2 linked regions of the Cricetulus griseus genome follow. The protein of the gene in region 1 purifies or fractionates together with the protein of each later gene. This does not show direct contact. Links are inferred from orthologs where the notes say so. Each region holds a gene or a part of one and is shown on either strand. Other genes may lie near its edges. The genes, in order: Stx4 and Napa.

The links.
Region 2: the proteins of Stx4 (region 1) and Napa purify together in Homo sapiens (affinity purification with mass spectrometry; 4 studies listed by BioGRID and IntAct, with this or other methods). This does not show direct contact. The link is inferred for Cricetulus griseus from reciprocal best matches to the Homo sapiens genes STX4 and NAPA.

The regions. Positions count from the first base shown.
Region 1 is NC_048596.1:72,932,655-72,937,104, reverse strand, and holds the start of Stx4 (syntaxin-4), read left to right. Parts: upstream 1-1,634; 5' UTR 1,635-1,765; coding exon 1,766-1,795; intron 1,796-1,956; coding exon 1,957-2,058; intron 2,059-2,114; exon of another isoform or gene 2,115-2,136; coding exon 2,137-2,236; intron 2,237-2,377; coding exon 2,378-2,452; intron 2,453-3,313; coding exon 3,314-3,384; intron 3,385-4,450. UniProt on the Homo sapiens protein: Plasma membrane t-SNARE that mediates docking of transport vesicles. Necessary for the translocation of SLC2A4 from intracellular vesicles to the plasma membrane.
Region 2 is NC_048602.1:10,772,195-10,775,999, forward strand, and holds part of Napa (alpha-soluble NSF attachment protein), read left to right. Parts: intron 1-884; coding exon 885-1,001; intron 1,002-3,805. UniProt on the Homo sapiens protein: Required for vesicular transport between the endoplasmic reticulum and the Golgi apparatus. Together with GNA12 promotes CDH5 localization to plasma membrane.

The sequences.
Region 1 (4,450 bases):
GGAAACAGTGAGACATTCTCGATCACATACAGGGCTAGGAGACAGGCTAAGGTCACCTCCCGACTCGCCCCCCCTTGTAATACTAACAGAGAGTCAGAGGGAGGGGATGAGTAGGAGGGAAGTAGCAATTGAACAGGGAGGCAGCAGTTAATAGGCAAAGATACCCTTGCAGAATTCATGTTTTGGTTTGTTTTGGGGGGTTCCCCAGGGGCATGGACAAACTGAAGACTTCCATTTGGGGGCTGACAGCATCATGACACCTTGAAAGTCAGGCCCCACAGTAGGCACTTTTCTCCACATTATTTTCAGGGGACCACACTAGGCAGAGCTGGGCCTCCTGAGAAGCCCACCAACACCGCATCCCTCTGCGGGGTGGTCAGGGCCATATTATCCTCACCCCCTCATTTCCAAATCCAGGAGTTTCTAAAGGGAAAAGCATCACAGCCCCACAAGTGCATGGGGTTTTAGTCTGTTGGCTTCTGATGTGTCACCAGCCCCTAAAACATATCTGCTCTATAGTATGTGCCCAATAAATATGTCCAGAGAGACAAACCTGGGGAAATGGGACGGTGAGAGAAGCCACAGGCTTTAGTTTCAGATACATGAAAGGCTCCTATTCGGATCAAGGCTGTGAGGGCCTATTATGTAGCAAGCTCTGAATTTGGTGCTGGGGACTCCGTAAAAGAAAAGCAAGTCATGCTAGGACTTCAGGGCTGCGGAGGTAACAATACATTCCTCTCAGTCTGAGCTGCTCTGAAATCTGAAGGTGGCGAGCTCAGCGGGACTGCAGTGCTCACACAGGGCGTAGGCCGCCCACCTGTCAGAGGCTGTGCCAGGAGGACGCAGGGTGTGTAGGGGGAAGAGTTCCACCTTGGCTGAGGTCACTTCCCACCCCCAGATTGTCTGCCTACAAAACCCTGCAATCCTCTGACGCTGTAGCCTCCGATCTCATTATGTTCTGACTCTCAAGGTCTCGTGATACTGACAGCCCCCAAATTTAAGTCTTCAGATCGCCCACGCCCTAGGGCCCCAAATTAAAACAGAAAGTGAAGTCTACAAGGGTCTCCTCTGTAGGTGGCTGAGAGCTGTCGGTGTACCCCTCCCCACCTTCTGCAAGGGGTACAGCTCAGACTCAGGGGTATCGGGGACGTCGCGAGACTGAAGTCCGAGACGTCGCTGACAGCGCCGGGACACGTGACCGGCTGTCGGGCGTGCAGCCGGCGGAGCGGGGCCAGGTCTGTCACGTGATGAGGGGGCGCCATGGGGTGATGTGAGATACGAGGCTCTCAGACTGCGTGCAAATGACGCATCCCCAACCCTTTGGGCAACTAGATTCCAGTCCCAATATGAGATGTTCCGGTAGAAAGGGGGGGGGGGCGGACGGGCTCTCGATCCAGGCGGCCTCGCTTCCGTTCGGCCGCGACTGCTTCCGACCTCCGCCTTTTCCCCCTAGCGAGGAAGAGACAAGACCTCGTGCGCATGCTCCGAGTCATCCTCCCGAGGGGCGGGGCTGCGGCTGCGGGAGCAGGATGGGGGGAAGAGAAGGGAATTCCAACCTGTAGAACTTTGGGGGTCCTATGGTCGGGTTCTCCCCGGCGACTGTGCATGGTGAAAGGGGCGGGACCTCTGGGGGCTCGTGGGGGCGTTGGGGGTTCGCAGGGTGAGGAAGGGGGTGTCAAGTGAGAGAGAGCTCGTGCAGGACTTCCAAACTTAGAACCTTGAGGCCCTCGGGGCTCAGGTCCAGGGACCGGGCGCTCGGGCCGCCATGCGCGACAGGACCCATGAGCTGAGGCAGGTGAGGAGCTGGGGCCCGGCGGGCGCGCAGGACTGAGGACTCCTGGTTTGGGGTCCGGGAGGGGTGGCTGACGGCCAGGAAGGAAAATCCCGGAAGCCCATAGCTCCTGCGGGGCGAGAACCGCGGCGAGCGAGTGGTGCCAATGACTCCGGCCCTGGCAGGGGGACAACAGCTCGGACGACGAAGATGAGGCTCGAGTCGCGCTGGTGGTGCACCCAGGTACCGCCCGGCTGGGCAGCCCAGATGACGAGTTCTTCCAGAAGGTAAGGCCCGGAGGACCGAGCAGTAGGGAGGACTACAGTACCACTTATGTCTTCAGTTCCCTTGGTGATCCTCTCTAGGTCCAGGCAATTCGGCAAACTATGGCCAAACTGGAGAGTAAAGTCCGGGAGTTGGAGAAACAGCAGGTCACCATTCTGGCCACGCCCCTTCCCGAGGAGAGTAAGCGAAACCCGGGTTCACGTACGCCAGCCCGGTGGATTATGGGGGATGTAGTCCTATATAGATGTTGGCCGGGGGTGGGGTTGGTTTTGGTTTGTGGTGGAGGCTGTGGTTTGGAAGTGTTGGCCTTCTCTCATTTAGGCATGAAGCAGGGCCTGCAGAACCTGCGCGAGGAGATCAAACAGCTGGGGAGAGAGGTCCGGGCACAGCTAAAAGGTGAATGAACTTCAAGGGCCTCAGCCAGATCATCCCCAGTGATTCAGCCCTGATGCTCGTGTATCTGGGGAGTCAAGTGATATATCAGGTCACAGAGCAGGTCTGGGTCTAGGATCTCTGCCCTGTGGCATCTAAGCCTTGGTACTTTGCATATATTACATGCTGGCCTCTCAGATTCCTTTATTACTATTTTTACATCTAAATTCAAAACTACTTGCTGCTACAGTTCTTGAAGCCCAGTGTGTGTTCTTTGAGCAGATGGATGAGGGTTTCTTAGGAGGCTCCTTCACTCTTGTGGGAACCCACTGATGTAATACAAAGAAAAACTTCTCTTAGAAGATCAGAATTAGCCTCCTCCTCCCCCTCCCTCACCTCTTCCTCCTATGTAGACCAGGCTGGCCTCAAATTCACAGAGATCCATCTTTCCCTGCCTTTTGAATGCTGAGATTAAAGGCCTGCCGTAACCAGGTCCAGTTGGCTGATCTCACCCCCTTCTTCCTTCTTTCTTCTTCCTCCTAGTTCCTTCTTTTTTCCTCCTCCTCCCCCTTCCTCCTCCATCATGTGTCACTACTAAAATATATCCCTGCTCATAAGTCACTTTGTAAAAAAAAATCCTACGAAGACAAGAACTTCCTTATTATGTGGCTGGAATGTAGATGTGGCCCTGTATTCTGGTACCCAAACAATTTTTTTTGATTCATTTAAAATTTTTTATTATGTATTTTCAATTTTTTAATTATTTTTTGAGACTCAGTAGGTAGATCAGGCTAGCCCAGACAGAAATCAGTTAGCCTCCCAGCCAATTTTTAGAAGTCTCAGGGCAAGCTTTTCTTTCCATCAACCCTCGTATTTCTCCCACAGCCATAGAGCCTCAGAAGGAAGAAGCTGATGAGAATTATAACTCAGTCAACACAAGAATGAAAAAAACCCAGGTTGGTTTCATTTTCCTAGAACTAGGACATTTCATCAAGTGTTTCTTAGATTACTAACTGGTGACTGGGCAACCCTTACAGACCGTTGAATCTGGGATCTCTGTCCTGATGAATTTCCTTTATGCTTATTTGGTCTAGGTAGAGGATCCCAGTCACAAAATTCTCAATCCATTATAACACCATGCCACCGCCATTCAAAGAGAATTTGCTATGTCAGACATGACTCTGTCCTGGCTATGAGAGACATATTTTCCCAAAACTGAAATGGGGAATTTGGACTGAAAAGGGAACAAAGATATTTCTCATGTAGGACTTGGTCACTAATAGCTTTGTTCAGGGAAGAAGAGAGAGAAATAAAAAATGGTAATTAAGAGCACTGGTTGCTCTTCCAGAGGCCCCAGATTTAATTTCCAGCACCCACATGGCAGCTCACAACCATCTGTAACTCCAGTTCCAGGGGATCTAACACTCTCACATAGACATACATGTAGGTAAAACACCAATGCACATAAATCAAAGAATAATAATAAGAGCCAAGTGTGAAGGCAGAGGCAGGCGGATCTCTGAGTTCGAGGCCAGCCTGATCTACAGAGAAACCCTGTCTTGAATAACCAAAAATAAATAAATAAATGATAAATAAATGTAAGTTAAAATGACAAGCAAGGACATCCTTGGCCCCATAGATAGAATTTAAGAGATGGCGAGGGGCTGCAAGACGGATCAGTGGGTAAAGGTGTCTGCTTCTAAGCTTTATAACCCAATTCAGCCCCAGGTCCATGGGGTGCAGAGAACTGACTCCTGGGAGTTGTCCTCTGATTTCTACACATGTGCCATGGCACACATGCCCTGCCCCGTGCATACACAGTAAAGACATATATTAACGTATGATGTAGGGACTGGAGAGATGGCTTAGCACACACCACTTTTGCAGAGGAACTGAATTCAGCTGTTCCCAGCTGTGACCTATGTCAGGTGGCTCACAACCATCTGTAACTCCAGCTCTAGGAAGAGGCCCTCCACCTCCTTGGATACCACAGATGAAGGCACATAATAAAATATATTTTTA
Region 2 (3,805 bases), on another chromosome or scaffold:
GTGATCACAATCATCAGATAACTGTGGAGCAAAGCCTTTGCAGGCTTTGTGTGTCCTGCTGTGCTCAGGAGAGTGGACAGGTGGGACCTCCCATAGCTTGGAGGCTCCCACTCAGCTGGGACTGGAGGAGCATGCAAAGTAGTGCCTTAGCTGAGGTGGTATTGGAGCACCACCCACAGCAGGGAAAACCCTGCTGCCTCCCCTTAGCCAGTCTAGGGGAGGTCTGAGCAAAATGGTGTGGAGCCCATGGCTGCCTCGGGCATTAGCACTGTCTGCGCGGACTCTGGCTCTTGCTGTCCTCGTCCTGTTTCCCTTTCTAGCAAGGACTCAGACATAGCAGGGGTGCACCTGAGAGCTTTGGGGAGTTGTGGAGGACAGAAATGGGCTAGGAAAGGGAGCAAGTGGGAAGTGTCACATGGGTTGATCTCACCTGTGCCTTCCCAGAGCACATCCCTTCCCCCCCCCCCAATCGCCCCATCCCCACCTTTAGTTCAGGTTCTGGGCTTCCCTGTTCAAAGAGCCCAAGAGCCTGGGTGTCATGTCTCATGTATTTGCAGCCCTCAGCTCTCTGTCTGTCTTTCCTTCCTCTCTGTGGAAGTGGTGGCTCTGGAGGTGCCGGCAGAGGGGGGGGGGACATGGGTTTGGCACTGTGTTTACCTGGCTGTTTCTGTGCCCCTGGGCTCAGGCTTCCCCCGAGGCTGCTTCCTGACGTCCTCACTCTACCAGGTGCATACCACCAGGAAGCTCTGTGAGGGGTTCAGGCTGCTTTTGGGCTGGAGTGGGCTGATCTTGGCCTCTACCTGTATTCTAATTGTGAGCCTAATGTGCCTCTCTGGGCAGTGACTGCAACTGCATTGAAGCTGGGACGATCTGTTCTATTCCAGCTGCCGGGAACGCTTTCTGCCAGGCTGCCCAGCTGCACCTACAGCTCCAGAGCAAGCATGATGCAGCTACCTGCTTCGTGGACGCAGGCAACGCTTTCAAGAAAGCCGACCCACAAGGTAACCTCTGTGAGCCACAGCTGGCAGAGCAGCTGAGCACTGTCCCCACATCCTTGGGTCTATACAGAGCTGGGTTTTTCCAGTAGTTGACACATGATAGGCCAGGAGCAAAACAAGCCCCAAATTCAGAATTGGCTGGTCCTTGGCTGACATTGGCATCCTGCCCTCTCTCCCCACCCCCCACCCCCACCCTGGTGTGCAGCCCTCACCCCCTCCTGGGCTTCGAGCATTTGGTAGTGGGAGTTCCATCTCAGGCCCACTCCTTGCCAGGGAGCCAGGCAAAGCTGTTCAGTTGTCAGAATTAGCATGCAGAAGGAAGCAGGGAGCAGGGAGGGGGGCAGTCCCAGATGAACCAGGTAGAGCGGAAGTCAGCCTGACCTGCCTTCCCAGCACACCAGAAGGAAGCAGAGAGAGCAAGCCTGGAGTGAGCTGCCAGAGCCCAGTTCCTTAAAGCAGAGCCTATGACATAGGAGCCTGGTTAGGCCAAAGCACAGCCCATGGACCTCAGACTTGAGATTTCCAGGCTGAGGAATTTGCTTTTGGTATTTTTGTTCACTTATTTTTGTGGTGCTGGGAATGGAGCCTGGACCTCTGTGTGCTGCAAATGTGTTGTACATGTCCCCAGTTCTTTTTGGTTCTTTTTGAAAATGGTTCTTTTTGAAAATCTTAGAGCTACATAGATGACTAACTTTAAATTTCAGCACGCACAGGTATTTGTTTGTTTGTTTGTTTGTTTGTTTAATTGGCCATCTAAGCTAGTCATGGCAGTGCCTGCCTGTCGTCCCAGAGTTTGGGAAGTAGGGACAGGAAGATCAGACACTCAGCTATCCTTAGCTCTTGGCTACATAGTGAGTTTGAGGCCAGCCTGGGTTACATGAGACTGTGTCTCATAAATAAATCTTTAAAGTATCCAGGCTGTTTCTCTCAGGAGAGTGGGAAAGAAGTGACTGTTCTTTCCCAAAGGAGAGGCTTGGGGTCTGGGTGAAAGCCCACCTCTGAGGAGAAGAGAAGACAAGCACCTCGGTCCTCCCCAGCATCAGTGGATGTCAGCCGTCATTGTCACAGGACCACTCCCAATTAGAGAGATGACTGTGGTGACTCTGTCCCTGGGCTGACTGGTCACTCCTGTTTGTTTAGCTATGATGTGTGGCTCAGGCCTGACAAACAGAGAGGGACGGATGGCCTTTCAGCCAGGACTTAGATACACCCAGTGACTCAGGGCAGTCCTCTCCCCCACAGAGCCGTCCCCACACTTTCCCTTCTGCTCCCTGGGGAACTGGTTGGCCTGGAGATGCTGCCTGGCATCTGTGCCCTTCAGCTGCTGCTCCAGCCGGAATGGCCGGGAGGACTTGTTCCTAGGTGGCAGTGGATGCCAACCTGCAGGATGCCATAGCTGCCCCTCCCAGCTTGTGGTCATGTCCTTTTTCTCTCGGGACCCAGGCATGGGCCCCGGCCTCAGCAAGTCCAAGCTGATGGGAAAGTATTGAGGGTGCTGCAGCCAAGGGTGTGAGTGAAGGTAGAGAGGGGCCGACTTGCCTCACGGGGAAAGCACAGTTGTGAGGGGAGCGCTTCTGGTGTTAAGGGCTAGGGACTCAGCCACGTGGCATCCAGCGCTGCTGCCTTGCTGCCCTGCCCAGTCACAGTTCCACATATGAGGGGAAGGGGGTGCATTTGCACGGTTGACAGCTCTTCTGCGGGGCCAGTCAGGGCTCACAGAGAAGAGTGACCAAGCAGGGGAGGACATGCCCAGGTGGTCTGAGCAGATCACTCCCCCTCCTCCAAGGAACCCAGTGGGGACTTGTGCTGCCCCACTACACTTCAGCCTAGCCGTCACTCTGCTGTGTTCTCTCTTCAGTGATAGCACACACCTACTGTGAGCTGTACACAGCAATTCATTCCTGGCATCCAGAAGGGGGCAGCCCCTGGCACCAGAGCCTCCCTGCATGGCTGGGTGCCCTGGGAAACAACTGGATGACCAGTGGAGGCTTGAACCCCCAGTTTCTTCAGGAAGGACCTCCCTTAGCTAGCTGTGAGATCCCCTGCCCTGGGGTCTGGTCCATCAGCTCTTTAGGAATCTCGCCTGAGCTGCTTGCCTGAGGCCTGGGAATGTGACCCTTTTAGAGCAGGAGCTCTAAATGAGCTGTGAATGTGCACGGGCAGGGAAGCAGTCTGGCTTCCTATCTACCTATCCCCACCGCCTCATTGGAGCTCGTGGTTTGTCCCTAGTTTGTTGTGGACGGTGCTTGCTTAGATCTGCATGTGATCAGGGGCTTCAGGGTGATGCGGAGGTGAGCCGGGCTCTGTAACTCCCTACCTGCTCTGGACAGGCTGAGCACAAGAGGGTGGGAATAGACCAAGGGCCCTACTATTTACCTTCAAGGTTTCACTGAGGCCTGTGGCATCAGATAAGCCCTGTGGTAAGAGCAGGCCCGGGTGTCAGCTGGCAGCCTACTACTTTCCAAGCTGTTCCCAGAGCAAGGGGCCAGCATAAGAGGACTAGGCCCTGTGAATCCATGTTTCTCCCCCACTGCCGTGGCAGGGACTGTCCCACCAATAGAGCCTATGCCAACAGACCTTGGCTACCGAAGTCTCCTCAAGAAGTAGCCTTAGCATCCTCATCCCAAGAGAGTCCAGTCCACTCTCAGCCCGGGGGCAGTCCTGGAGCCTTCCCAGCACAAGCCCTCTGGCCCACCTGGACCCTCAACCCCGTGCCTCCCCCAACCCCCATCCTGAGATACATTAAAGTAGTTAAAAGATACTGAGAGCTCGTTTCCATCTGCTAGAAAATGCCTCCCACTCACGCC